Oreochromis niloticus: one gene and its partners. The protein of the gene in region 2 interacts with the protein of the main gene of each other region in a biochemical or structural test. Links are inferred from orthologs where the notes say so. Each region holds a gene or a part of one and is shown on either strand. Other genes may lie near its edges. The genes, in order: nin, aurka and otud7b.

Region 1 (10,266 bases), on a different chromosome or scaffold from region 2:
TGGATGTCAAACGAAGTTTAACTACACACTTAATCACTGGTGTTAGGGGGGGAAACGTGCAATTTAAAAAGCACACCTCAGTTTTTCGGCATAACAGAAAAATTGTGCTCTGGTAAATGAAAGAAATCAGACTTTTTGGGCTTAAATTGTAAGAAATAAATGTGTAAAATTACAGAAAGATGGCATGTCATTGGCCAGGCTGTCCTGTAATACTAATTATTATTGTAAAGAAGAAACAACCTTTTGTTATCAAGCTATGTAAATCCCTTCAAATAGAAGTTGTTTGAATCCAATTTTAATAGCATCTTAAAGACAATTAAAAACCTTTTCTTATTGTGGTGGTTGCAGTCGATTGCCACTAGCATTTGGTATTAACTCATTTTGTATTCTATGAACCCAGACTACTAGGAAATCTCAAGTGTTTACTCTGATATTTAATACACAATAAGTATCACACCAATCTCAGAGGACTCCTTGATCGAATTCTTTTTGACAGCAGAGTAACATATCAAATGAAATGGGTAAATCTTCTATTGATAATGCCTTAAATATCTAAATATTAATATAATGAACTTAACAGGATAATGGCAATGATGTTCAGTAACATAATCTTGATCAACAGGTTGATTAACTTGTTAACAGTGGTGGTTTCAGCATTAGTATTTCCCATGAGAACATTTGTCATAAACATTACACAACACTGCGTATGGCGATTTAGGAAACATTTAAATGATAGATCTGCTCTATCCGACATGTAATAACTTGACTCTGAATAAACACCCAGGCCTCGCGACACATTACTTACACACGTGAGCAAATATGACTTGGCCCAGTATCCAAGGGAACAGGTATAAAATGACAGGCACCGAGACATAGACAGTTATCAGAAATGAAATAGCTCTCTTCATTTCTGCCACGGGTGAAATTATTTCCACTCCACAGCAACACAATCTGCCCCGCTGTCCAGATCAGGGTATGCGAATTTTCCTCTTTCCAGTGAACTGAATCCGGCAGGGATCTTGTCCTGACAACAAGAGTGTTGTGAAATAAAGTGAAAAGAGGTCAACGTTCTTCTCAGACTAATCGTCTCCTCTGCCGCTCTGCTATTGGTTAATATTTCATGCAGCAAGTCAGTCGTGTAGAAATAAAGTCGATCAAAGTGCAGTGCTCTCCAAAGAAGGCAAAAACTCAATGCCTGTGGACATCTTCCTTTAACTTAAAAAAAAGAAAAGCAAAAAACATGCATAAGGAATATTTAGGGACACAAACTCCCTTACCGCCGATGTAATCAACAAAACAGGAACAAACCCGGCTGATAAGTGGCCGCAAGGAATTGTGGGTATTAAAGTTCTTCGAAATCTACACGTTAGACCAGGGGTCGGCAACATGCGGCTCCGGAGCCGCATGCGGCTCTTTAGTCGTTATACTGCGGCTCCGCGTGGTTTGGGCAAATAAATTAGAAGTATTTAGCTGAAGTGTATTTTATTTATGTTAGTTCTTTTTAACTCGTAGTTCTAAACTGGAAGATTATTGTGATATTGAAATATAAAAATAAAATTATATTCTATTATTTTTTCACGGCTCAAAATTAGAGTCACACTCGCGGAAGCCGGTATACCCGCCGAAACGCCGTGAATTTATCGAGACTTTCAACCCCAGGTAGGCCAGTTATGGATCTTCGGATCCACATTATGTCAGCAGCTGTTCTCCACCGTGAACTATGTTAAAGACAAACATCGTTCACGCCTGACAGATGACAGCTTACAGTCCTGCGTGAACTGACTTCGTATAGCCCCGATTTGCGGACTCTGTGCGCAGAGGTTCAGGAGCAGAAGTCCCATTATAAACAAATCACGGCAGACCCGACGATGTTTCCATGAGCATGCTTTTGAGCATCTCTTTATTGAGCACTTTTCACACACGGTTGCTGTACGCATACAGCCGGCTGTAGCTTTTCAGCTCACAGCACAGCCCGACATACACCAACAACAACAGAACAGCACAGATAGCGCAGACGTTAAGGCGGCGAGGCGTGATTGCGGGTGTTGCTCAGGTGCGTCCGCCTCCCCTGCAGCGGCGCTGCAAACTACGCCCCGCCGCACGCATTAACCAGGTAAAATACATATTTAGGCAGAATTTTGCAAATATCTATTTTTCATTTTTCAGCAGCATAGTGCTTTTTTCCAATTATTTTTTAAGAGTCAGGTCAAGGCTCCAACAGCGCAAAGGCGATATAAGGGAGGCGGCTGACAACAGTTTTTGTTTGCTACATGGATCATTTTCGTTCAGGTTGGTGTCTTTCCTTTTGTTATATTTCTTTAAGAGTTCAAAATGTGTTGATTACATAAATATAATTTAATTTTCTCTGTAGCACTTCATGGATTTCATAAGCAGCACACCTTAGTTGTTCACACAAAGCATATATACAGTGTTATCTTCATTTTAGATGTCAAAAAGTATTTGCGGCTCCCAGTGTTTTCTTTTGCGTGGAAACGGGGTCCAAATGGCTCTTTGGGTGTAAAAGGTTGCAGACCCCTGCGTTAGACGCATAAGTTATTACGTTTCCTTTCAGTGTAAAACATATTAACACAACTAGCTATATATCATAAAAATTCTTAAAACAGAAGAAAAATTAAAGGCAAATTTAAAAATGCAAGTGGCAGATGTTTAAATTATAATGTTTCTTTTCAATGTCAACACTAAGATTATTTTCTTTCATTCAAATTTTTATTGCTCAAAAATAATTTAATGAATTAAGAATGTAAAAAAAATTCATGCTACAGGTGTTAAAGGGATTATGTTTCCTTTTGGTGTAAATATATTAAACATATTAAAACCACTATAAATTTAAAACAATTTCACATTTGTTTAGTTAACTACACCATTTAAGTATATGCATCTTTATTCCACAGTTGTAGCTAGCTCGATATTTAAAATAATTTTAAACCAAGATGAAGCCAATATTGTATTAGATAATGCAATAAATCCACTCCTCCACCTGGACTGAAAGAAAGCTCAGGGTAAAAGTAGATATAAATATGAAAATAATTTTGTTTTCAGGAGTTTAGCAACTGATGCTGATGCTTTCAGGGTTTATGTGAGTTAAATACTGGACATTGATTGGCTTTATATGTTAAGAACTAGAAAAACCCTCAAAACTGAATGTAAGAGCATTGTGATAGGTAATTATTCATCCCTTCATCAATCTGTATCTAAGAAAGCAGGAAGATAAGACAGTTAATGCAATTATTCGATCCCCGGGATTTTTGTAGGAGGGGAAGCGTTTGTCTGGTCATTGCTGGTTGAGCTAATCCCACACTTTTTTTAAATTGCTAGCAAATAAATTAAAAGCCAACAAAGTATCAGAAAACTACTGTTTTCTTGTTTTTCCAATAAACTTAGTTTCACTCTTGGTCATGCATGAACTGATGCTATAAACAGTAGAAATCAGTACAGAGCAGTTGTAGTGAAACTTCACATTTATCCTGTGGTTGTGGACTACGGCATTTCACTGACACACTTATATTGAGGAATGATTCGTGTTCTTGTTTTTGAAACTGCTCTTTGGTAAGATGAAAACCTACTTGGGAGCCATTCTTCTTATGATTGTAGCTTGTAGCCTATGGCTTATGCAGTACTGTCCAAATGTATTGAGAGGCCCCTCATTTCTTTATATTTTGCTAAGTAGTAGTGACTTATTTGCAAACATCCACGAAAACAAAGTGTATAAAGCAAAAACTGAGTTTGTACAACAAGCTTGAAAGTCAATATTTAGTATGAGCACCTTTATTCTGCAACATAGGCTTTCTAAGTTCTTTAAAGGGTCTTCGGGAATGGTTCTCCAGGCTTCTTGAAGGACATTAATTTGTTTTTCTTTGGAAGCTGTCTGGGTTTTGTTCCAATCTCTGCCAAGATGATCCCACACTGCTTCAGTAATGTTGAGGTGCAGGCTCCATGGAGGCCAATCCTGATAGTCTTCCATTGTATATTTTTATTTATAGGTACGTTTTTACTCCACTGATAGTGTGTTTGGGATCATTGTACAGTACAGTAGATGGATCAACTGAAGGGTGGCTGCATCTCTCAGGTCCTGTTTTAGGTCTTTGCTGGATTGATTCCTGTTTCTTACACACAGGAATAAAATATTTTGATTTGTTGCAGATAGTTTTTTTTTTAAGGTCCGCCAGTTTTTTTGTCCTCCACTTGTCCAGTTTCCACAAAATCTTTAAAGTCACACAGTACAGCACGATGAGATATGGCAAGTTTTCAAGTTTGTAATTCACCATACTGGCGCAAAAAATATTTTATTCATATCAATCAGTGTCATCATTAGCATTTTTCATAGATTAAACCAAAGGAATTGTGCTTGCTGCTAGTAGTAAAGCACAACTGGTTCATTTCTTGAGCTAGATGCCCTTTGTGTGTTTGAATGATTCATGGGTAAGTGTTAAGAGGCATAATAAACAAACAAACAAAACACTCATCTGAAAATGAAAATGGTCAGGTACAAGGACTGGACAAAAATAAGTGAAAAAGCGGCCAATGAAGGAAGAAACACTGAAATCCCTTCAGAGAGCAAAGTCTCACTTCCTGGAGGCTAAATATAAACAAATATAGGCCAAACACTCTGAAGTATTTTAAGTAAAGGGTAGAGAATATTTAGATTCGTATTGTTGATTGTGTTGAGTGTGCACATTCAACAAAGCCAGCATAATGTCTTGTGCAACTTTAATCTAATAGCGGTTGTTTGATCCAAAGATGGTTGCATCCAGTTTTGAACTTTGGCTGCTGAGGAAAATCCCCCCCTCTGTGCTTGAATATTGCCTAAAAGATAGCATTGCAACACACATTATTCAAAACAAGACACAGCTATCAGTTTAAAAGACTGTAGTGATTTCGGAGCTGTTTTAGTTTGGTCCACTGGGGGCTGCAGGACTGCGTTGCAGCTTCTTGGTCGGTCACCGCCCCTTCCTCTTACAACCGCTTTTCAAAACCCGCTACAAGCCGGAGGAGGATGATACAGCCGCGGACACAAAGCAGCCAGCAGCAAAACCCTGACAGCTACTTTTTCTGTAATGTTAGGGAACAAAATGCTGCTATCGACAAATTAGCTGCTCGTCAAACTTGCCGGAGCGGAAGGATTACCTGCACTGTAGCGGGAGAAATGTTGTAGTTTAAAGTTTTTTTTAGAGGTGTGTTTAATCAGCAAATTTCACTCGAGGAAGGAGCCAGCTGTCCGCAAAGTTTCGACACTTTGGTGAGTTTATTTTTTCTCAGACATTTCTTTCTTTCTCTTCTCCAGCTCTGGGTACTTAGCTTCTTTCATCCTAAAAAAATGTGTTCCCTCACGTTCCCAAATGAACTAGCGCGGTTAGCATAGCCCATCACTTTCCTTATGACTGGTGAAGCTAACTAAACTACATTACAGTTAGTCTCACAAGTGACTTTAAATCTTTACTTAGATGAAGTCAGGGAAAAGTTAGTGAAGTAAAACACACACGGGAAGCAGCTGACTGCTAACTTTATTCCATTTTGATTTAAATGGCGTTAAGTAAGCGCGCTAATGGAAATAAAATGCAGTTTTGCAGTTTGCATCACCAACAATTGCCCTCACATTTCACCCAAAGTTGTTTAAATGTGACTGAGATGGGTTGTTTGCAGGTTTTCAAAGTTATTCTTTTTCTAAACTTTCTCACATAGGTCTACAGAAAATGGGAACATGGGAATTATCTTTATGTAGTTTCTTTGGACAGAAGGTTTGTATAGAGAGAGAATGTCAAGTCCTCAGAGAAAACAGATTAAAATGTAGTTCCTTCATCTCTAGTTCAATCCTCAAGTTTTTAAGTTTTATCTTTACTGGCTAAAATCTTTTAGTGACACTATGACCAGTGAATGCTGGGATGGTTCTAGGATTTATTTTTTTCCCTCCTAATATGAACTGGTTTTATTCTTAAGCTACAGCAGCTGTCGACCCACAGCCACCTTGAGCCTCTGTGGCCAAGCTTGAGGTGAAGGGCTGCTTGGATAATTGGCTCAGAAATTTGTTTGCAGAAACCTGAATAAGTTCAACAATGCCAGCAAGATGTGCAAAGAGATTTTTGTTTAGTAAGAATCTGTTCAGGAGACATGCATGTAAAATACAGCGGTCCTAAGCAGTTTCCCCAATGCTTGTTTTTGCTTTCTGTTTGTCGCCCTGTTGCTCTGCAAGTTTACCAAACATTAGTTTTCCGTAAGCTGCCATACTGCTGAACCATTATTTTTCTGCATGCCATAAGCTGCTCAAATGTGCAGATGTAGAATAGTGACTTGGCCTTTGTGGACAGCCTATTGTGCGCAGTGAATGGGCACCCCGAGTCTTGATTGTGGGGGGACACCTGGCCAAGCACTTGATGATTTCAGTGAGAGCAGCTGGAAGAGCAAAGGGTCAGGCAGCATATCTATTGTATAGATGAGCCCTGAATGGGGAGTTTCAACTCATTAGACATACTGGTATGTTCTTTATGTTGAATTTGTCTTATGCACATCTATATACATTATGTTAGGACAAACTGAAGTAAGGTGATCAAAATGTATAAAATATTAGAACACAAAGACACCTAAGGAGGGTGGAAAACTATGGTATTTTTGAAATTCAAGAAAAAAAAGTGGACAGTACAAACTAAATAATGCAACAAACCCACAAATCTATTTGGAGTTTATGTAAATAAAAATAGAAACATGTATTCTAACTCTGCTCAGCCCAATTTAAGCTTCACCTTTGGTAAGCTTCATGCGGCTGATCTCAGCTGTTGTGTCTGGAAGTTATGTCATTGCTTATGTTAGTAAGACTCTGTCTTTTTGCTTTGGACCAATGTCAGCTTCTCCTCTTACTTCAATCCCACATTAAAATATTAGCCTTGTAGATAATTCGCCAAGGTTGATTGTCTGCATTGCTATCATTGCTTCAGGGAAACGTGGCTTACAGCTGACTTGAACTCCAGACTTGTATTTTGAGGCGCCGCTCTCTGTCCATTTGCTTCTGTTGTTTTTCAATTAGAGAAATGATGCAACCCAATTGACACAACAAAAACTTGGTCCATGTGTAACTGAATCTGCCAGTCTGGAAATGCTGGCACACTGCTCTGGTCTAACTTTCTCAATTAGTCCCTGGCTGCTCTGTCCACTTGGCTTGGTGCCACTGTGTATTCATTGTTTTCTTGATTAGCTGTTTCAATAGCATATAATCTAAATACTTGTAGATATTAAAAATTAAATTATTTGGTGATCAAAGTGCAATGAATTAAGATTGATTTTTATTTATTAAATGAATTAAAAGAAAGTCATGGTTGTTGCTGGATATCTTCGTGTCTATCAGTTTACCCGTTTGTCTAATCATTGTAATTGGATTACCTAAAGCCTCCACTGCAAATGAGGCTGGAGCAGTGCGTTGAAAGCTCAGTTGCAGGGCAGTGCTCTCAGATGAAGTTGTTGGTAAGAACAGATACTGCTGAGATTGATGAAGCCATCCTGTTTGTGAGTATCTGTTAGCACTGTGACTGAATATGTTAATCCTGTCAAGGTACTTTAATGTCTTGCCTTTATCTTGTCTGTTATTCTCTGGCATATCATCCTCGAGAGGCCCAATAGTTGTAATGGAAAGTATGACATCTCTTTCACTCTTTCTTTAGGGCAGGGTGCTGTCCTGTGGGATGGATGACGGGCAAGAGCAGGACCAGTACGAGGAGCGGCTGAAAGAAGTTTTTAACAGCTTTGACACTAGCGGCTGTGGCTCTCTGTGCACAGAGGAGCTCTCCGACCTCTGTCAGTCGCTGCACCTTAATGATACCGCACCAGCTCTTCTCCAGACTCTGCTCCAGAACCAGGACCGCCTCACTGCCAGGGTGAGTTTATTCCACTGCCGCTAAGCAGCCATTTCATCATAAACAATCGTCATACTGCTAATGTGAAGTCTGAAATTATACATTACCTGCTTGGAAATGAGAGACACACCCCCTTGTTAAAAAGCTGTTATTTATGCAGCAATATTCATTACTAGTGTTGAATACATGCTACAATCCTAGTTTCATGCTGTGTAATGATTTTTGGGCTGTCCCATGTGCACAGAGATTATTTTTCAGATTCTCTGAGTCTTGAGTTTTTTGATGATACTACATGCTGTAGATTATGAGGTATTCAAAGTTTTCCCAATTTTGGATTTGACACCTGGGTCAGCTCCGACCCAGGTGTCAAGACAACAAACTATGTGCTGATCGCACACACTTTTATTTGAGAGAGGGGCCATTTGGAAATGTATTAAAAAAAATTAAGGACAGTGGTTCTGATAGTTCAACCCATAAATAAAGATGAGATGTATCCAAACAGCTTAACTCCACACGCTGGCATGAATGTTTGTTTGTATGTAAGCATGTAGACAGACGGGTGGCTATTGTCTGGCATGTGTGGGTGTTAGTGGGCGGGGTAAATGTTAGCAGAGGGGCCACTGAAATGATTGCTTACTCACGGCATCCAACAATAAAGTCAAAAAGCCCGAAGTATCCCCCTCCCCTCCAACACCATCTAAACCTGGGAGCCGTCAGCCTCCGCAGCACAAAGAAAATCACCATATTCAGGGTTGGCAGCTGCTGATTCTTAAAATGTGACCTTGCTGCTCCTGCTCAAACCCTCCTCCACACGGACACCCAGACTGCACCTCACCCACAGAGAATAGCACCCATTGTAAGGAATTTCATGAACTTTCTGTAAGATGTATTTCTTTAATTCTTTTGCAGGTTGACTTTGAACAGTTCAAGGATGCTCTTATTCTGGTTTTGTCATCATCCATCGAGCCACCTCAGGAAGAACAGGAAGTCCTGCCAAAACCAGGTAAAGTCTTGATGGTTGTGCACAATGTTTTGAAGAAACTTGCCTGCAGCATCGCCTTGAAGGCACAGAGCATGACGTTGTGCCCTTAACTTGAGTTGAAATTAGTTTATCATTCACCTAGTTGTCTGTGTGTATAAGTGGAAAAGCCCCTATGCACAGCCAGAGGACCCAAAGCAAGTCTTTGAAATGACTTGTTATGTTATTACCATGCTACTTATTGTGTAGATGATGACAGATGAGGTTGGATGTAAGTTCAGTTTCTTTACAGATCTGTCATCATTACATTGTGTAAGATCCTTGTTATATATCAACACAAAGAATGGATCTCATCAAAGCAAATACTACATTGTCAATATTTATGCCTGTCAGTGACGCATGATGTATATTGAACCTATGTGGTTCCTGTTAATTTCTCTAAAGGTTGACATTTAGTTCATGGCTGTTTTGCTGAAACAGATGCGGCTTTGAAAAGATCCTAAAGTTACAAGATTTAGAGAAGTTATTTGGAGAAGTACATACTGGAGGCTTTGCTAAATACTAGTCGTCACATTTTTTTTTCCTGTTTTTGTTGTGATAAACTTCTATGCAAATTATTTACTCTGTGCATGATTTGACACTTCCTTGTTATTTTTCCTCAGAGTCTCCTGAGATCAAACCAAAGTTTGTGAAAGGCGGTAAACGTTATGGCCGCCGTTCCACACCAGAGTTAATAGAGCCTATTTCAGACTTGACTGAAACCACACACGTAAAACCAGCCGACGAGGAGGATTTGGAGGACAACTATGACTCAGCTGTTCCCAGGAAACGTGAGGTAAAAGGCTGAGACTGATCGGGTTTTCATCTCGAGTGCCATCCTTATCGCTTCCTGTCCTTGCGTGTTTCCCAGCAGCCACGGGCCAGCATTCAGGCGTTATTCTTAGCTAATCAGCTTAGTGGCATGCAGGGCAGATCCTGAAGTGTAATATAAGCGTTCCAACACAAGATTCACAAGGTCCTATTAGTTGCATAACAAATTAGTACTGTCTGTAAATAACATTGTGAGGATAATTAGTGTTTGATAAGCCTCGAGTAATTAACACCTAACCACAGTGTTTGTGTAACGTCAGACTTCATCAGGCGATTTCTGTGCTGAACGCTGGTCAGTGTGGATTTAGACTTGGCCTTATGTGCTGGCGGCTATGCAGAGGTTTAAGAATAGGTTTTAAAAATGTACATCCTGTGTTTTTGGCACATACTGAAAGGAAAGGGATATGAGACTTGTCACAGAGTTTATAGTATCAGGTCATTTATGGCCGTGAACAGTTGAACGGTGTGGGTGTGTGGTTCCTCTGATCTTCTAGATCTGTTACTTGGTTAATCAGACTCACTTCTGACATGTTTCCACACACAGTCCTTTCTCATAAA
Region 2 (9,676 bases):
ATTGGGCACACAAATATTAAGCATACAACATGCATCACAGAAGAGATGCTTTTAGTGAACATTCAACATACCAGAAACAGGACTACGAATAAAAGGTTATTTTCACTCTGTAAAACTGGGGAAGCTCCTTTGGATTATAGAACAACAAGAGTGACGAAAAGGTCTTAACTGCACGCTTACCGTGGCGCTTCTGTCCTCGGGAAAATGTCCACAGCGCTGGAGCTCGCTGTACAGCTCTCCCCTGGGTGCAAACTCCAGAATGAGGTACACACGAGAGGCATCGTGAAAGTAGCCATAGAGTCGCAGGATGTTCGGATGCCTGTAGGAAAATCAGGACCATTAGATATTTTGACAATCATCATTTCCAATATGTATAGACTCCCCAAACTAAACTGCTATTCATTACTATGGTAGGGGGTAATTTTACTGAAGGGAATGTGTAGTTGGCATATTTTAGTGCCATTTTTCTGCAAATGAATCCATGTGGTCATATTAAAAAAGTTAGGCATATGGAAGTCCACAGAGCGTCTCACACTCGCCGTCTGATGATCAGATTTGGTCAGATCCAGAAACCATAGCGTGCCTGTGATGTTCTCAATATCTGAAGCAAAATCCAATCACTCTGAGGGAAAAGGTTTTAAACCTGACTGATCTACAGTGTTAACATTTAGATAAACATGAAGAAACCCCCACAGCATCTGAACATTTGTCTGACAGTGACATGAAGAGGAGTCCGATTTCCACAGATTAAAATAAATAAAAAATATATAATAATCAAAAAGATAAGTTATCGTCATACTAACACAGGTCTTCCCAGCCGTGCTGCAGGAGCATACCAACACAGCCAAACAGAACACAAACCACATTTACACACTTTCATAAGTGTCTGTTTGTTTGCAATGTGATGAGCCACATTAAAGCGACGGACCCATTCAATACTTTATTTTCCCAACATTGAAAGTTCTGAATTTTTAAGCAAGAACCCCACAGACACATTTTACAGTCATTACAATTACGGGGGGGGGGGGATTTGCTTTCAATCATTTTCCACTGCTTCAGTTTATTAGGTACACATAGATAAAACTAATTCAATGCAGTTATATCCACCTTCCACTATAACCAATGAGCACAAGCCACAGATAATCTTCCATTTTGGAACATGTGGCCTAGACTTAAAAAACAAACAGACTTTATTCTTTATGACCCAAAACGAGTGCCTGAGCCCGTGCACAAACTCAGGAGCAGCATTTAAAGAGTTGGAGTCAGAAAGCTGTTTTTCCATAGACTTCTAAAGGACTTTTTGCAACCACATCCATCACAGTCTGCTGGCCTTCAGGAGTGCAGGGTTTTTAGGTACTTCTACATCTGCTTAATTTTTCTGACCTGGAATCTATGACTGTGTTTTAAACCATTTATATGAGACTCAAGATCAGGACTGGGTATCGTCACCAACTTCTACAACTGATTCTATTCTGATTCACAAGGTTCCAACTCCACTCTATTCAATTCAATTTAGACTCCGTCAGAAATATAATTATGATCATTTATCTTTGATACGTACTGTCAAAAGAACCCTCTAAAAAATGTAAATTAAAAATATTTCATTTCAAATTACTTGACAATATCTCTGCAATTACAAACTCAGTATAAATTATCTAGGTACAAAAACAAAGCTGACACCTGTGAGACTTCATCAGAAGTGCAAGCCTCACAGCAGATGCCTTTGTGTCAAAGTAGCCGATGATATAAAACAGAAAAATATGAAGGAGAATTTCCTGGCCTGGCTTTTTATAGCAGAAAGCCATTGCTGGAACTAGATGTTAACTGCAAGTCTCCATTTAGTGGGAAAAAAAAAAAAAAGGAAAAAACACGACTTCCTGGCGATTGCAGTCCCTTTTGCTTAATTCATGCGTAAAAGCATGCACAGAGCACAAGCGGACATTTTCACATGTGATCTACTGCAAATATTAAAATATCCGCAGTACATTAAAAACATGAAAACCCTGAATCAACATAAAAACTTTGCAATTTGGCAGAATTTGTAAAAGCTGAAATTTCTGCGGTAAGGAACAGCAGAAATATATTGTCAGAGGTAATTTTGGGGAAAAAAACAAACAAAACAACAGCGGCTAACAACGCTGTACACAACTGGAGAAAATGCCGAAAATTTAGATTTTTGATGGTAAACTGGTCTTGAAGTATACAGAGAGAGCTGTGCAGGAAGTGTGATTTAATGAATCAATATCACAATATTCATATTAAAATAATTTTGAATCAGAAAATAGATTTTTTAAACCCACTCCTACTCAAGACCGTTTTGAAAAATCAGACAAGGACCCAAAATAATTTCAGTAGAATAATGCTGTTGTGCTGACTATCAAAGTCATTTTCACTCATTTTCCCTACAATAATCAGTCACTTCAGTTTGACCCCACCTCTTTTCCCTTATCTGTAGTTTGCCTGCAGTGGGTCTACTCACCACAGTTTGAGAAACGTGAGTCTGGGGAGCAGTTAATTACAATTAACAGTAAAATATAATTCGACAGATGTTACCTGAGGTGAGACTGGATCTCCACTTCTCTCCTCAGCTGGTGCTCCACCCCAGCCTTCTCCAGTTGCTTTTTGAAGAGCACCTTCAGGGCCAGGATGAACTTAGTCTGTCGCTCCCTGGCCAGGTAAACATTCCCGAACTTCCCCTTTCCCAAAGGACGACCAATGTCAAAATTTTCCAGACTCCACCGTGTCCTGTGTGAGCAGAACAGCACACGGTTACAGCAAGAGCGACATAAACTGTAACCTGTCATAAAAGTATATGGATGAGACAAAGAACCACTCTTAAACATACTTTGATGTAGAAGTTTGTGCATGATCGTTCTTGGCAGGTTTGTCTGGACAAAGAAAGAGGAGGATACATTTTAGCACCCAAAACACAGACACAAACACCATTGTTTTCCCAGTTTAGTATTACACTTACCCTGTGGCTTCTCTGGCTTTTGTGGTTCCGACTGGGGTTTGGTCAGGTTTGGTTTAGGAGCTTGCGTTTTCGGCTGGTTTTGCTGGGTGCTGGGTTTGAGCTGTGTTGCTGCATTTACATTCTGAGTAGCGGGGTTCACATTCTGATCAGCAGGGTGTGTGGACTTGACAGTAACGGGCAGGTTTGACACTGGTTTCTGATGACTCACAGGCCTCTGAATGCGCTGAGGTCCATTTGATACACCTAGAACCCGCTGATGCGGTGTTGGTGTGACTACAGCCTTCTGAATGGGCTGTGACTGCTGCAATACAGGAATCCGCTTGGGCCCATCACTGGTTGACTGCAAACAAACAAGATAAACAACAATAATAAAAAAAAAGCTTCAAGCTTTTTATTTTTTGAAAGTATCATAAATTAGATATACCTTGAAATAATTGTAATTTGAAATTGATTTCTTAATTTTCTTAACCATCTATCCGACCCAGTCTCTCACTGAGCACACCCTGGACAGGTCGCTGGTGTGTCGCATGGCTAACAGAGACAGAGACAACCATATGCTCTCACCAACGTCCAATTTAAGGTCACCAATTCTGCTCATATTATCAGGATTAACAATGCCCTTTGTGGTGTAGTCAATATGGTCAGTTTAGTTTATTTATAAGCTCATTTAAAAAAATAACTGCTGGCTACCATCCTGTATAACTGGATGGATAAAATACATAAATAATAAAAAGAAAATAGATTTTAAAAAGAAAAAAAATGAGAACATGAGTAAAGCAGGATTGAGAAAAAGTAATCCAATTAGAGTTAAAAGCCAAGGATGAAAACAGGTTTTGAAAATGTCTAATGCTGGAGGGGTCCAGATGTGCAGATGCAGTTTGTTCAACAATTTAGGAGCAAAAACCTGATCAGCTCTGTTTTAATCTAGGAGAACCTGCTAAGCAGATCTCAGTGATCTGATGGAAGTACCCAAAGTTAAATGGAGGCAAGAAGGTGCAAACGCATGCAACGCCTTAAAAATGACATGTGGTCTGTCTTGCGTATGTCAGTTAAAAGTCAAGCTGCAGCGTTTTGGACCAGTTGCAGTCAGGGAAATAGTGACAGACTGTCACCTGAAAAAAAGGCTGCTGCAGCTGGGAGTCAGGATGAAAACAAGGCATGATTAACTCTAAAAATCTGAAACCTTGAAATCTGTTTACCTTTGTGAGTTACCTAATCTGAAAAAAAAAAAAACAAGTTTTAACAACAGCATTTACCTTTTACCTCAAAAGACAAGGTTATCTAAATTAACAAACACCAATTCTGTTTTAATCCCATCCTCAATTAAAATCCTATCCATAGTTGGGATCAGTGGATCGTACTCCTATGATCACATACAAGTGCTTAGTTTTGGCCATGGTCCTTTTCACCCATCCAACTTTGTGGGTCAATTCTCTCTTAGCTCCATTTTTGGTGATGCATATGCCGAGTCTCTATATACACTAGATCTTCTTAATAAGCCATATAGAAAAGACACTGGTATGCCTGGAAGCGCAAATCTAATGCCATACACAGTAATCAAGGATATTTAAAAAACAAAAACACACATTTAATTAAATTTTCAACCAGCTCCGGGTTTATGATGAGTTACCTTAATTTCAGGCCTTTGAAGTTTCGTGCCTTTTGGCATCTTGTGCATAGCAGTAGAGTCCATAATCTAATAAAGAAGTAAACGGAGACAGGTTTTAATCAAAGAAAGGGTTAAAAAAATGATAGGAATGAAGAAAAACATGCAGTTTGTTTAACTCTTTAGTCTGCCACGTTTCTTCTAGCTAAGAGTCTCTTCCAACCTCCTTAGACTACGATGACCTGGATGACCGAGAACCTTCACAGACATTTCTTCTAACTAAAACAAAAAACAAAACCCAATAACAACAATCCTATTTGGATATAGACGCTCTTGTATTCGTGTCTGAGATAACTGTTTAAACACGTATATACAATTTACAATGTTTATTCTGTCAGGAAGATTAACAGTAGCCATCAACGTCACGTTGTTGCCGATCAGGTAAAGTTAAATTTGCATCCACACCAAAACATCAACTTTTTCAACAAGCTAGTTGTATAAAACCACTTACCTAAATATATTATTGCAATGACCCGATTCAACGCTAATCGATAATTTTTCTAGAACATAAACGGGTCGAAAACAGCTCCAAGGGAGGCTAGCTAACAGCTACGTCGGCCAGTAGACCACAGCTGGCGTTTGTGGCTCGCTACAAACATAAGGACTATCCACGGAGATGTTACGACGAGTCTTTATCGACCAGTCTACCTTAGTATCACTTCTTTTGTCTAAAAAATACTACATGAGTGCTAATAAAACAATAAAGTCGAAGCACAAAGCTGTAGCAGTACAGAGACTGACTGAGATTGGCTAACTCTCCGAAGACTGCTTGTTTAATTTCAAACGGCCCTCGGTTTAAAACCTTTAAATACAACACAGGCTGCTATTGGCTGAGGGAATGCTCAGTACTCACTCTCCATTGGCTGAGGCTACACGCGGCGGCCGGTGGAGCGTGACGTACTAAAGTCGAAGTGAATCTTCCAAAACACTAGGGGGCAGTCCACAGACACTGTCAGTACAGGAAATCTTCCACACCACATGCTATTACACTTAATGACTTTATTATTACTTCAGCTGCTTGAAAAAAAAGTTTCTTCCCAAATATAAACTCAGAAAAACAAGAGTTATTTATAGTTTCATAGTATTGTCTTTCTTTTTATTACTATCAATGATATCGCTTTTTAAATCTCTTTAAATTTATTATTTTTGATTCCCAGTAGATCAGAAATTACAAAACGCATTTATTTGTCTTTATATTATTATTATTATTATTGTTATTGAACGATTTTCTTTAAAAAGAAAATAGTTAAATCAGCAACACATAAGGAATAAATGCAATGCTTAAGTAAATAAAAAATGCAATTTTCATAATCAACAGCAAATTATAAAGCGAGTTTAGAGCCCTCCTTTTATTTGTTTGTGTTGTCTAAATTACTCTAAACTATATATAAAGTCTTTTATTTATTTTATGTTTCTTTTTGTTTTTGCTAGTTTTAAAACTTTGGCTGGAAAATGTAAGAAAAACAACTTCTGACACCCTCACGGATAATTATTACACAAACTAAAGGCTTATATAACCAAGCAGCAAATGATTTATTAGAAAACTACGTGGAATTTTTTTAATTACATGGTCTTCAAACCTTTGCTAAGATGTGTATTATTAATATACGAGAAACTACATCCAGGGAGAAGTAAATATTAATTAAGGAAAAGTGATTTCCTTTTGCAAGATATCTTTGGGCATCTCTTGGTGGGTAATTAATCTAATTACGTGGTGATAAATCCAGTTTTATCAGTACAGTAGGGTCAGATATATCCAACAAAACAGGCTTCCAAGAGATTCAGAATAATCATAGGATACTGTTGTGATTTTTGTGGATTAAAAAAAGAACTTCTTTCCCATTTGTGGTGTTTTATTGAATTGTGCTAATGACTCAAACACAGACGATAAGGACATTTTCTCTGTTTTCAAAGAGATTATGAGAATTTTATTTTCTTCATGCAACTGGTTGTGCAAGGGCAGCTTACATTCTTCAGTATCACTGTTGCACTTCAGTGACTATTAACTATCTAACCAATAGGAGCTAACTGGCCAGAAAATGTATTGAAAGAAATCTCACCATGTCCCTGGAAGTATCTGTAAATAAAAGAGCAGGGGCATGCAGATGTGGTGGGTGTGAAGTTAGGTCAGCCCAAGTTAAATAGGATTTATTGCAGTAATCAGGTCTGCAAGACAAGCCAAAGTGACGCCAAAGTGCACCATGCACCTGCAGTGGTGATGCCATTTTGGGTGTGCATCACCTTTTGTAAGGACAAAACTGAGAATAAACTATCTATGTTTATTCCAAATTTAACTGAAGAGCTGTTTATATGCTATTTATGTATTTATATGCTTAATTAGAATAAAAAGTAATAAATTATAAAGGGAGAACAACAACAAGAAAACAATGTATACTGGAAAATAATATGTAAAAATCTATCGATCAAAAAAATTGAGCCGGCCTTTACCATAAGGCCCATGCTTCTTTGAACTGTATTTGCTTTTTTATTATTGTGTACTTTTTCATACCAGATATGTAACAGAGCTGCTCATACACTGGTTCAAAATAAATGAGTCTGACTTGGGGTTCTGCATTTTTATAATGTCAAAAATCCTGTATAAATATGTCACCCAAAATATATAAAATATGAATCATTTCCTCTTCCACAAACATTTTAAATAATTCTTTTTAATTAGCAACATTTCATTTCCTTAATTTTTTCACAGAAATTGTAACTGTGACATTTGTCCACTATGTGGCAGCATGTGGCGCCTGCATGATGAAGTCAGAACTTCAAGCATCCTGTCAAATGTGCAGCGTTTCTGGTTTATGTCAGGTAACTCCCTCTGTGTTTCAAATATACAACCATTGCTTCCAGCTGACAGTTCAGATGTATAAAATAAGTGACTGTCTCTTGACTGAAACCATCAAAGACAATCAGGTCAGGTTATTTTGACACAATCAAGAGCGTCTTCACATTTATTAAAGCTGAAAAACAAGAAAGAATATCTGACAAAAGCTCTTAAATAAAACGGGTTCAAATATTTTATTGACACATTCTGCATTTGGTGAGAATCTTTTACACAATAACCCATTCAGAAAACAAATTACAAGGTGAACATGTGATTTTGCCTTTAAAAATCAACCAAACTCATAGTTTACTCTGCCAAATTGTTCTTTTTTCAAAAATAAATATTCCTGGCATAGGTAAAAAAATATATATATTAATAAATATCTTATGTACAGAAAGTTGTGCGTTTACCATCGCCACACAGATTCCCACTATGAGACTATCTCAAACACAGGGTATCCACTGAAACAGTTTTATCAAAATGCTCGCTTAGCACGTGTAGCAGCTTTTACTGGTAATAAGTGTGAAGCTTTCGGCCCCTGCACTCAGTGATCATGCTTACAGGATTATGTACGTGCTGATAAAACTACTTCAGTTGAAACAACCTCAGGTTTAGTATGTAAAAAGAAGTCTGACCCTTGTTTCTACACAGTAAACAGATTCATGCTTATGTTACATTAAAGCAGCATTTGAGAAGGTCTACTATACATTTTTAAAAGTATAAATATGGCAAGTACTTTGATCCCTTCATTTCAACTTAAATACCTCAATAACATAAGTTATTACATTACATCAGTACAGTTTAGTATCAGGCTTTCATTCGTACCTATTACAGTCTGTTGTTGTAACTGAGGTCCCATAGGAAAACAGTGTTGAAGTGGCTCTCTTACACAAATAAACCTTACTGTGATCACTGTGGATAACCCAAACCGTTTAATCTGACCTGCTTGCATGCATTTGTGACATTCGGTGCGCTTGACCTCCATGGCTAATATCAGCCATCATTTCTCAGTGTACGCATTTGTTACAGTCACTCCTATACGTCTCACCATGAACTGTTTTTCTTTCCGACTCTTCTGCTGTAAACGTGAAGCTCAGACCAGAGACGATGTGCTGGCATTCTGACACATTTCTGCCAGATGAAAACACACCTGGAGAAGGCATTTGTAAAGACAAAAAGCAGCGTCTGCATTGGCACATTTCTTGTGTTTCCAGTCCATCCACATTGCACCTTTTTTCAAAGATACAAATGGCAGTAGTGTTTAAATCTCCCTGAGTGAGCCACCAACTTTTCAGCGCCCTATCAAAGCAGTCCCGCCAGGCCGCATCGCTAGAAAACACTCAGACCTCCTTTAGGCAGCAGTCTCCGGCTTAGAACATAACTGGTAAAAGTACACAACATGCCTAAATTGTACCCTTAAATAATACAAAAATCCCCAAAGCACCAAACAGGACCAGAGCATCATAGAAGGAGGCTGGCTGTACTGCTGTGCAGTCCAATCTGAGACTCAACTGAACACCAGAGTAGGGTGTCATTTCTCTGTGACCGCAGCAGCCATTGGGGTGCGTATGGTCCCACGTGCTGTGGCTGCCAGCTCCTCGATTTCTGTATTCAGTCGCCTGATAACCCACTCCACGGCTTCACGGCCCTGTTCGAGAACAAAGTGAAACGTTAGTCCGCGGGAAAATGAGTTGCATCAAGTAGAATACAAGAACAGAAAAGACGGCGTGCCTGAAACACGTAAACCCACTTCATGCAGCGACTGGTCTGGAGAGAACGTTAAGCTGTTGACTAGTCATCTCGTAGTTTTTAAAGATTTTTCCACACAAGTGGATTTTGGATGTACAAGTGAAACGCCACAAATCTGCTGCTACTGCCCCAACGTAACAGTTATCATCTCCCTTCTTTTCTTGCGATTTGCAATGGCTATAAACACTTCTGCCTATATGTAATTAGTGTGAATGCTTGAAAAGCATTCACAGTATTGTTCTTCTAATCTTTATTATTCCGTTTTATCTATTCCGTACGATTTTTGGCATCTATCTCCTTCAACACCATTCAAGTCCAGGCCTCATTATGTACTATATAAAGAGAAAGACATCCAACCCACAAACTTTGGACAAAGTTTTTTAAACTGTGTGGATCCAAGTGGAGGGATCACATTTTAGTCATTCAGTGATTCAAAGAATATGAACTTTTAATA
Region 3 (10,298 bases), on a different chromosome or scaffold from region 2:
CTGTTAGTGGAAAATACTTTACTGTCCCCGCGTTCAAATGATGTGTAATTATTGAGGTCCGAATCGCAGCCGCCATGTTCGTAAACGGAACAAAAGCTAGACTGCGTGGTGGCAGGCCCGATCAATGCTAACATGCTAATGCGAGTTAGCGCCGTATAGTTGATTTATTCAGTCGCTCCGTACAAGTTAGCGAGGCTACGGACATAGAGGTCTTTAAAGTTCACCTGTTTCTTTTTGAAGGGGAAATTTACTTGGCCGGTAACTTAACTCTCATTGTGAGGGTTGTTAGCAGCTGCTAACACGCTAATTCGCGGTTAGTGCAGCTAACGGGTAATTGTTTTTGCGGCTCAAACTGGGGGGAGCGGGCATGTTAAACATGTTCCTAGTCAGCTGAATTAAATTGGCGAATTTTGTTCGTTGATAACTTGTAGTCAAGAGAGCATTGCAGCGACGTGCGCTGGCTTTGACTTGTTCATCTTTCATTCATTAGAGAGCATCCACAAGCTGAAAGAGAAAGCCAAGAAGAGGAAAGGAAGAGGCTTCGGTTCAGGTGAGTGACCCCTGGTGTGATGGCGATATTTTACATAGCCTCTCTTACTTTAGCTATGCAGTACAGTAAGTGTTTCTTTGTCGATATTTCCAGAGGAGGGAGCCCGGTCCAGAACCAAAGAGGACTATGATACTGTGGAACAAGATGGGGATGAGCCAGGCCCTCAGAGATGTGAGTAAAGAAACGGTTTAACAAAGGATTATGTCACGAACTTGAAACGGCAGGCTGTGGCTTTGCTGTGATATAGCAGAAAGTACCAGTGGTTTTCTGGGTAATCTTACATCATTTGCTGTTGATGTGATAATCACTACTGGGTAGAACATGTTAGAACTTATTTAAATACATGTTCTTAATTGTCATTGTCTTAATACTTAAGCACAAAAATAATTTGTGTGTTTGTCCTCATTACAATTGTGTGGTGCAATTTCTCATAATTGTCAATTTATAAACCTTTCACTACAGCACCACAGGCTGTGTTACAGAGTAATGCAAAAGTAAAATGATGAAATAACTTGTGATTAGTAAAGTAATGCATTACTTTTCTAAAAGTAACCGGTAAGACAATGCTGCTGCTTTTTTGAGTTACAACTCCAATGCTTGTAATGATAAGTTTGGTCAATAGTATAAAGTCCAAGCTACATGTGTGAATAGAAATCTCAGAGTTAATCAACAGCAAAAGAAGGATTACGCTGGTACCATTAAAATCCATTCAGATTTACAAAAAAGCAGACTTGCTTCCAAAAAAGTGTCACTTCTGTTATTTATTGACTTAATATCAAAGCAAAGCTTTTTATTTTACATTAAATGCTTTATTGCAACGTAGCACCTTTGGCATCACACTGTCAACAACTAGTTTTTATTTATGACTCAAATACAGCGCTTTTTTTTTGTTTGTTTGTTTTTTGTCTTTTTTAAGCTGATACACTTGAAAGTGGTACTTGATTCATTACATGCTGATTCCTTTCCTTGCTGCAGCTGTGGAGGGCTGGATCCTCTTTGTGACGGGTGTACATGAGGAGGCCACAGAGGAGGACATCCATGACAAGTTTTCAGAGTTTGGAGAAATCAAAAACCTCCATCTCAACCTTGATCGCAGAACAGGTTACCTTAAGGTAAAAAAATACAACAACAAAAACCACATACTATTATTGTGTGGGTTTTTTGTGTGCGTGCGTGAGCTGATAACCCTGGCTTAGTACAGGTTCGCTGTCTGGTGATACCTGATTCTAGCCCGCTACTTGGAGTTGAACCTCAGTGTGGTTTGCAGCTATACTTTGAGGAATGGGAGGCGTGGGGTTGTTCCGTAGATCTTTCAGACAGGCTGATTGTACACCCCAAACAACGCTTCTGTTAAACTGTTAAATTGGCTCTTTTTGTTTTGTTTGACTGGCTTTTACATCCAATTGTGTTTGAGTGGGGGAAAAAATGGCTTGTTGAAAACATTGCTTCATTCTGGGGTAAAGGTGGTTTGAGCCCAGACAGATCACTGTTGCCTTCCAGCTGCATACACAACACCTGGCTGCATAACATGTTTGTTTGACCCTTAATGATGACACCACGATGCCATCCATGAAGAATAAACTCAGAAGCCAGAGCCAAGACCATCCACCGAGTCACACTTTAACTGATTTCATACAAAGAGAAGTGCCAGTGTCAAGTTAGTTACCAAAAAAGTAACCAACATTTCTCTGACTTGTTCTAATTATCGCTAAACTAAACCCTAAATCCAAATATTTTTAATACTGCAAATGTCCTTAATTTCTGTAAAGGATTATGTTTTGGTTTAACAATCCCATACTGTTCCTCTGTTCATGTGAAAAATGGAATTATTGGTAACCTGCTTGCTGGTTTTCTGATCAGATTGTTCTCATTTTTAACATGTGATGTGGATCAAACTGGAAATTTTACACACGACGTCAAATTTTTACCAAAAGCACATTTCATTGTCCTTTTAGTGTTTTGTTGTTGTGCGCTGTCTGTTTTTTATGATCCCATAAGTCAGTTTAACAGTGGCTTGTGACACTATTTTATAGTTAGGTCAACTTAACCAAATTCAAATCAGGAATATACAGATATTACACATTTGTTTGTTTTTATTCCACACAAATGGTAAAGTAGAGCAAGTTTGTTTCTGCAGCCAAACTGAAACAACTGCATGAATGCAAAGGAACAGCTATTTGTAGAGTCCTCATCCCACCATTGTCATTGTATTTCAGCTGTGTATAACACTTATTCCATGCGGGAAAAACACTTGTGCAGAGGATGCATCTGATCATCTTTGATTATAGCTCCTTCAGCATGCCTCTTCTCTCTTTTCCAGTTGCATTTCAGGGATGCAGACATCCTTCAGTAAGGCGTGCTGAAATAAAATTTAGTGGGGGCACAGTCAAGTCTAACGATGGGGAACTAGGTGAGGGCAAGGAGGTGCAAATTAAAACTGTTCCTTTTAAATATAGAAACACATCCTCTTTTCTACCACAAGGTGGCAGCATTGTTTTTATGTAAAGTAGGACCAAAGGAAATTCTACCTCTGTCAGCTAAGAATGGGGAACGTAAAAAGTTTTCCTTACAGGCAGTTTGAAGCAAAAACAGATTGTTGTACAACAAAGTCAGAATGTGTTTTTCCCAATAACTGAAGTATTTGGTTTACTGTGTACATAAATATGCAATAATTCACACAGTCTTCTGTCCCCAGGGTTATGCACTGGTTGAGTATGAGACGTACAAAGAGGCTCAAGCAGCCATGGAAGGGCTCAACGGTCAGGACATGATGGGCCAGCCTATCAGTGTAGACTGGTGTTTTGTCAGAGGGCCTCCCAAGAACAAGAGAAGGTGAGGGTTGTGTCTTCATCCATCTTGGAGCAGAAACAAGCTCGATGATATTCGAAAAATGTACAGAAACATACTCTGTACATTCATTTCAGTAGGATTTTGTCATCATAAGTGATCTTTTTTTTTTCCCCCTCTTACCACGCAGCCACCCACTACTGATGACATGACTACTTAAGTTTTGTAGATAAGATACAATTTACTTTAAATGTCTGTGTGGCAGATGACAAAACATTAAACACAGCTCAGAAATAAGTAGCCTAAAGTCCAATTGTTAAAAACAAACATGGAAAACAATATCCAAAACACAGTGGTTCAATAAAGTTAAAAAAACAAAAAATGAAGGGACTCAATAATTTAAAAAAGAACCCCCCCCCCCCCCAATGAATACAGAATAAAGATCTACCACAAAGAAAGAAAGCGTGAGATAAAAGCTAATCAAAAAGGTACTGGCTGAAGCAAATGCTCATTATGCCAACCCTTTTAACAAAAGATCATTTAGGAAGCAGCTCATTTACATAGGCAAAAGAGTAAAACACAACGAACAAAAAACAAAAAAAACTTTCCATCTTAGATAAGTAAGTAAATTAAATTTCATAATAATAATTATTGTAATAATTTGATAATCCACACAAAACAACCAGGAGTTTCAGTATTATTATTAATATTGCTCTTCTTCATTCTTGATTTATATATTTTCTAATACTCTAGTTTTAAACATGTTTTTAAACAAGAAAAATAAACTACACCTTTTTAAGTCACTGTTACAGCTATTCCACAAGTTACTATAAATATACTTTATTTATGCTGTAGTTAATGTTAAAGCAGGTAAAACATAAAACACAGCTTAATAGCTTAATAAATAAATTACAACAATAAAATTAGACAAAAACGGGTCAATTGAATACAATAAGTAGAAATCTGAACCTTGAATAAATTGTAATCTAAAAATACAATAAAGGTATGGAGTTAAAAATTTAAATAAAATAAACTCTATATAAAGTCTATAAAGATTTGACTACAATAAATATTATATTCACCTTGTTGTTATTGATCCTTTTTTTTTTTCATTTTACCACCCATATTGTCAGTGTAGGTATTTAAGTGAAACTCGATGATTTTTGAATTGATTTCTTTATTTATTTTTTTAAGATTTTCCTTTTTGATTTAATGTGTGTTTTGTTTTAGGGCTGGTGGACGGAGGCGCAGCAGAAGTCCAGACAGGAGGCGGCGTTGAATGGAGGAAGTCATCACTTTGATAACCAGTTAATAGGCTTCTAATGCCTTCCTACGAAGCAACTTTTGGAGTTTTTGTACAATATTTTCAGTAAACGTTGTGTAGCTGGGTAATTGGATCTAACAGAGAATTTGTGCTTTTACTTTCAGACAGACATGTACATGTTTATGGTTTTCATGAATCCCTCACAGTTCTTTCTGTTTGCTCATTGTAACTTGGATTTTATTTTATATAACCTAAGGAAAATTAAAATTTTTAAAATGTAAACCTATGATTTGTTTGTCTTTTTGTCTTTAAAATAACAGTTTACAGAGAAATCAGCATAACAGCTCATTTTGCATGAAATTATAGCATATATAGACATCATATACATATGAAGAATGTAGAAAAGAACATTTAGGATTTGCACATATAATACTTTCTGAATGAGAATGGGAAATGATAATGCATAGGTTATCTTTACTTTCAAAATAAGTTAAATTTACCTTTAATGTTAATTAGGTGTGTAACTTAGTGAAAAAGTTACCTCTTATTTCTTTATATTTATTCAAGGGTTTGGGGGGGGACATTGGCTCCTTTTCTTTCATTCAGTTGCAGTTCAGTCCTTGTACCTGACCATTTTCAGAGGAAGCCACTAAACACTCCCCCATGAATCATTAAAGCGCAAGGAAGAGCTTTAAATGTCTTTTAAGAAACCTGGTGGGCTATTCCCTAAAACATCTTAACGAAACACTAAGTTTGTCTTTCATGAGTATTTATTTTTTAAAACCACAAAAAACGTTTTGCATGCGAAAATTGACATTAATGGTCATGAAAAGTACTGAGACCTATAAAAAAAAAAAAACTTAAGCTGTGAGTAATATTAACCATGCTAAATGTACACGTTTTGTCACAACTTATTAGTGTTTGTACAATTCCAGAAAGGATGGATTACGCTCAGACGTGTACCCTGCTGCGTTTTATTTAGCATCGCTAATGACGTAGGGTTTACATCATCCTGGATGACCTCATCCCGGCCACGGTGACGCCCCAGCTATTTTGTTAACTCCAAAGCACCTGTCACTCTGGCCTGAGTGCCGCACTGACATTGGCTGCTGACACGAAAAACCACCGGCCTCTCATTTTCTTGCAGCCAATTGGCAGGCGGATGTTTGGCGTTCTCATTTGGTGTTTACTCTAATGGGGAACGTCAGTCAAAATGTTCTAGCCCGACCATTGGTTTTCATAAACGTCAATAAAAGAAAACTCCCGCCTCTGATTGGCCGAGTCCTCTCGGGGGCCGTCTGAAACCTTTGGTTGACGTTGTTGTTGTAAGTGGTGGAGAAATTACTTTGTCGCTGGTGGTCCGGTTTGGGATTTTACGCACCGTTCTCCATATGAGGACACTAAAAAGTTAGAAGTCGTTGGTACTGGAAACGTATTTGCTACTTACAAGTTGGCACTTGCTGGAAAACTGAATGGGACGATGAAAACAACATCTGCGAGGCCGCTAAAGGTAAGCAGTAGAGGGATACTCCAGCTCCTAGCGTTAACGTAAGCTACCGTTAGCTTGCTGCTGATTAGCCAGGCTTGAAGTAGCCACTTGCTAGCCAAATGTAACGGTTCGTTCTAATAACTGAAAAAAATGTACAGGACTTCTTTATGGTGAGCATTCATGCACATGTCTGGCAGACTTTAAATGGACGATTATAATTACTAATGGGTGCAAATAAAGTTAGTGGGATATGTGTGAACGGTGCATGAACCTCATGCGTTTGAACGTCTCAAATGCGTTTATGTAAGCATGTTTATTGTTCCCTGATATTTTTTCTTCAAAGAATAGTTCTAGCCATTAAAAGCTGGCTCCGAGTCAGCAGTGGGGACAAGCCATCATCGTGTGTAGCGTTAGGATTCAGCGGAGAGCAGAACTGGTTTCTGAATACTGCCTTAGCTTTATAAGCTGTCAGCTAAGCAGTGTGAACACTGATATCAATTTCAGCTGATCTCTTTAGTAGTTGTGCATCTGCCTGTGGAAGTAAGTTAAATCATCATCTCGTTTTTTCTGGGAGCTTCTAGTCACGATCCAGCTTATCGGAGTCCGCCTTTTATTTAAGGTGCATGTGTGATGTAACATTGACTTAAAAGACCAGCTCACAGAAATTACCAGAGCCAGCTCTTCACACAACTCAATTTCTAACCAAAACAAGTGGTTTTATTGAGTCTGAATAAGCATCTAACTCGGTGTGAGACTCCTGCCTGAGCTGACGGGTCACAGGGTTCACTGCTTTTTACTCATTCTGAAACTAGAACTAGGTTTATTTGCCATATTTTTCTCTACATCACCACAGCGAGAAAGTATTAGGTTGCACTCTGCCTTGAATTATTTAGGTCTTGTAGTTGTGGACTCCTTTGTTTGCCGGGACACCAGGACAGACAGCCTACATGAAAAGTAGGACAGAGGTAGAAGTTCTTCAGTGTATTTGGCCTACAGCAGGGGTGTCAAAACTCATTTTAGTGAACAGGGCATATGTACAGCTCACTTTGATCCTAAGTTTGTTTGACGTATAAAACCACTGGATAATATCCTTTATATACACAAAATGTCTTTGTGTGAAGAAGTATAGGTACCTAGGAAAAACATTTGCATTTAATGAGCTATTTAAATAACAAATGATAAGTAGTCAATGATCTCTTAGGCAAAAGGAGTGCAATTAAAACCAGTATTTCCACATTTCATCACTCTATTGGTGTTACATGTATATTAAAATAGTATAATATAGTGGCTATTTAAAGGCACATGACCTTCACACATGTATTTTGGATCTCGACAACAACAGTATTTTACTTCTGTCTGTAAAAGCGGAGAGAATTGCAAGTGTCTTCTCTGAAATTTGCACGCTTTGCAGAGCCATCCAGAAGGCCAGGCTGGGTGTGCTTTGACTGCTGATTTTGATTAAAAACAAAACACACACATAATAAACACACAGCAGTGAAGAGGAAGCTCGTTGAGAAGTTAGGTATGGTGTAGTAGGAAAAAAACACATTCAGCCCTCCACCCATACTCACTGTTTCCAGTGGCTGTGAAGGATGATGCTTGAAGTGTAGGACACACAAGCAACTGCTGATCAGTACCAGTGTGGAAAATTGAATGAAACTACCAGCGCACTTTGACTGTAATATTTGTCTTTTCTGCTAGTGACTTTTGCAGCTCGATAACTCTGAGCTATGATCAGTACGTTCCAGCATAGTCTCGTGGCAGTTTGTGACATGATCACAACTTTCAGTGTGTTAAGATATTAAAATTGATCAAATTATTTTCATGTCCCTGAATTTTCAAGTTTCCATATGTACTGATTTGTGTCTATATACACAAAGTAAATATTTTTCACCTCTAAAGGGTGCAAGAAGTCTACATTTAGAGACGGGAGGGGTTGGTGGTGCTGTGAATCATTAGGATGGTTACAATTCAACAGCATTATTTTGATTATTCAAACTGCTTAATTAAAAAAACAAAATCAGAATTAAACTACAGTGGTTGTCACTTCTTTTTAGCTTAGTTTTCTTGGTTGTCAGCATGACTATGCTGGACAACTTACGAGCTGTAGACATGAATCCTCCTTCCTGTTTAAATGCGTCACTCTCAAAGCTTTGCTAACCATCACTATGAAAGTAGCCCAATTTTTGGCCATGAATGTGGAAAAATAGATTTTCTTCTCAACACTGTTCTTCTTTTGATAAAGAAGAACAGTGTTTAACAGTTAAACACGCGTTTATGTGACCAGTTGCAAAAGCAGCACTGTATTAAAGTTGGTGAGGATTTTAATCAGCAGGCCAGAAATGACCCAGTTATTATATTAAGGATCGTATGTAGGGATGAGAGTTGCATGAACTGTAATTTAAACTGAACTGAATAAACAGAGTATATAAATGTGAAGTGAAACAAACCTGCCACAGTCTGGCAGAGATTTTTTTTTTTTCAATTTTGTTTTTTTGTTACGCAGTTTAAAACGTAAAGAAAGAGAAAGTGTTGAAAATATAGATTATAAACTTAAAGGTGAGCATTTTAATTGTTGCCTTCTTAGTGTTTTAAAACTGGGCGTGATGTACGAGGATGGATCTGAATAAATTATGCCAAGAAGTTGTTAGATAATGTCCTAAATGATCCTTCTTTTTTTTCTAACAATGTCTGTAATTTGAAGAAAACAACTTTGTTTTATTCAGGATGACATGAATCACAGGGATTCATATATTGCTGCATTGGTCAACTAATATGAATGCAATGAAGGGAACATTTAATCAACATTTTAAACATTTTTATTTTCATAGGCTCAGTCAGTGAAGTTTTTGACCGCACCTCATATTTGCACCCATTATCTCACTGTTGGTAATTAAAGTGATAAAGCTGCCCATCAGTTCATGGTGGCAACTATTTTCATACCACGATGCTCAGTTTTTCTGAGGGTGTGTGTCAGGTTTCATTATACAAGTCCTCAACACTTGAAGGAACATATTATATTGATGCATACAGCAGCAGAGAGAGCACCTCAGGCGAGTATTTTAAGAGGGGTGTAGCATCCTTCTGACTGCAAGTCAGTTTCCAAACTGGCAGGGTGTAAAAGTAAAAAAAAAAAAAAAAAAAAAATGAAGACTGAAAACAAAAAGTGCTCTGCTGCTTTGTGAATATGTGGATTATAGGCGCACGTATACAGTCTATTAAATTGCCTTCTCAGTGCACTAAACAGGCAGTAGCTCAGCCTGCATCCAGTGGAACGGAACAAAACAAACATTACTGAGTTATTGCTCTTTGATTTTCCTCGAACCATTTGAATTTGGTTGATCCAAATTTAAATATGTGGCTTGTAATCTACAGTGTATCATATGCATCAGATCTCTTAACAGGATTCAAATGTTATGTGGTTGGAAGTTCATAGTAGCCTCGGGTTACAGTGACACTGATGGTGATGGTGCCCACTCAAGAGGTTTTGTTCTGGAAGGGAAATCACCAAGACTGTGGCTAAAATGTTTTTAATCGCTACTTTTTTCTAAAGTTGGTTTTAGTTTTGCTAACTTTAAAACACATTTTGCTTTATCAAAAAATAACAGGACAATGCATACATTTATATCACCCAAAGACTTTTTACCATAACTCAGTACAAAGCAGTTGCGCTTACTTTCATATTAACAAAGGCTTTGTTTGAGCCAGCGTGCTAAACTGTATTTCACTAAAATTTAGTTTGCAAGCTCTTTTGTAATCGTTCATTAACAATAAAACTGTGTGGAGTGGGCCATGAGCTTTTTCACCTTCTGAAGCGTTGCATGCCCTGCTGTCATCCGAAATGATGAGTTGTAAGTAGACACTCGTATGACCTGCGTAACAGGGTTTGTCATGACGCTGGCAACATGAGGTTTTATGAGATGATGGTCGTGGGCTTATTTGCACACTGTTTTGCAGTTACACGTGGCAATAAAGACAGTGAGTCTTGCTTTATACTTCCACATGACGGACAGCCAGTTTAACTTGTTTGACTTTCTGTATGACTTCCTTTAAGGTTTTGTGCCAGTTAGTATGAGAGTGCTGTAAACATGTGTCACGCACTTATTTTGCTGAATATCCTTTGTTACTGTCTTGGTGAATATAGTGTTATACAAGGTAACCTGTCTGTTTCAGCCATGCAGAGGGTATGAAAATTTAAATTTTCCTCT

What was found.
Region 1: of the proteins of aurka (region 2) and nin, one has a biochemical effect on the other in vitro, tested with the Homo sapiens proteins (2 studies listed by BioGRID). The link is inferred for Oreochromis niloticus from reciprocal best matches to the Homo sapiens genes AURKA and NIN.
Region 3: of the proteins of aurka (region 2) and otud7b, one has a biochemical effect on the other in vitro, tested with the Homo sapiens proteins (2 studies listed by BioGRID, with this or other methods). The link is inferred for Oreochromis niloticus from reciprocal best matches to the Homo sapiens genes AURKA and OTUD7B.

The regions. Positions count from the first base shown.
Region 1 is NC_031983.2:21,050,284-21,060,549, forward strand, and holds the start of nin (ninein), read left to right. Parts: upstream 1-6,370; 5' UTR 6,371-6,459; coding exon 6,460-6,489; intron 6,490-7,667; coding exon 7,668-7,880; intron 7,881-8,768; coding exon 8,769-8,862; intron 8,863-9,500; coding exon 9,501-9,673; intron 9,674-10,266. Other genes in the region: monoacylglycerol lipase ABHD12, read right to left, coding at 806-908. UniProt on the Homo sapiens protein: Centrosomal protein required in the positioning and anchorage of the microtubule minus-end in epithelial cells. May also act as a centrosome maturation factor.
Region 2 is NC_031970.2:6,631,654-6,641,329, forward strand, and holds the start of aurka (aurora kinase A), read right to left. Parts: upstream 5,439-9,676; 5' UTR 5,092-5,438; intron 4,671-5,091; 5' UTR 4,668-4,670; coding exon 4,605-4,667; intron 3,315-4,604; coding exon 2,975-3,314; intron 2,889-2,974; coding exon 2,846-2,888; intron 2,746-2,845; coding exon 2,554-2,745; intron 320-2,553; coding exon 181-319; intron 1-180. Other genes in the region: prelid3b (PRELI domain containing protein 3B), read right to left, coding at 9,005-9,121. UniProt on the Homo sapiens protein: Mitotic serine/threonine kinase that contributes to the regulation of cell cycle progression.
Region 3 is NC_031976.2:34,771,573-34,781,870, forward strand, and holds the start of otud7b (OTU domain-containing protein 7B), read left to right. Parts: upstream 1-5,871; 5' UTR 5,872-6,111; intron 6,112-10,298. Other genes in the region: rbm8a (RNA-binding protein 8A), read left to right, coding at 491-550, 644-721, 1,526-1,662, 3,246-3,382, 4,568-4,616. UniProt on the Homo sapiens protein: Negative regulator of the non-canonical NF-kappa-B pathway that acts by mediating deubiquitination of TRAF3, an inhibitor of the NF-kappa-B pathway, thereby acting as a negative regulator of B-cell responses.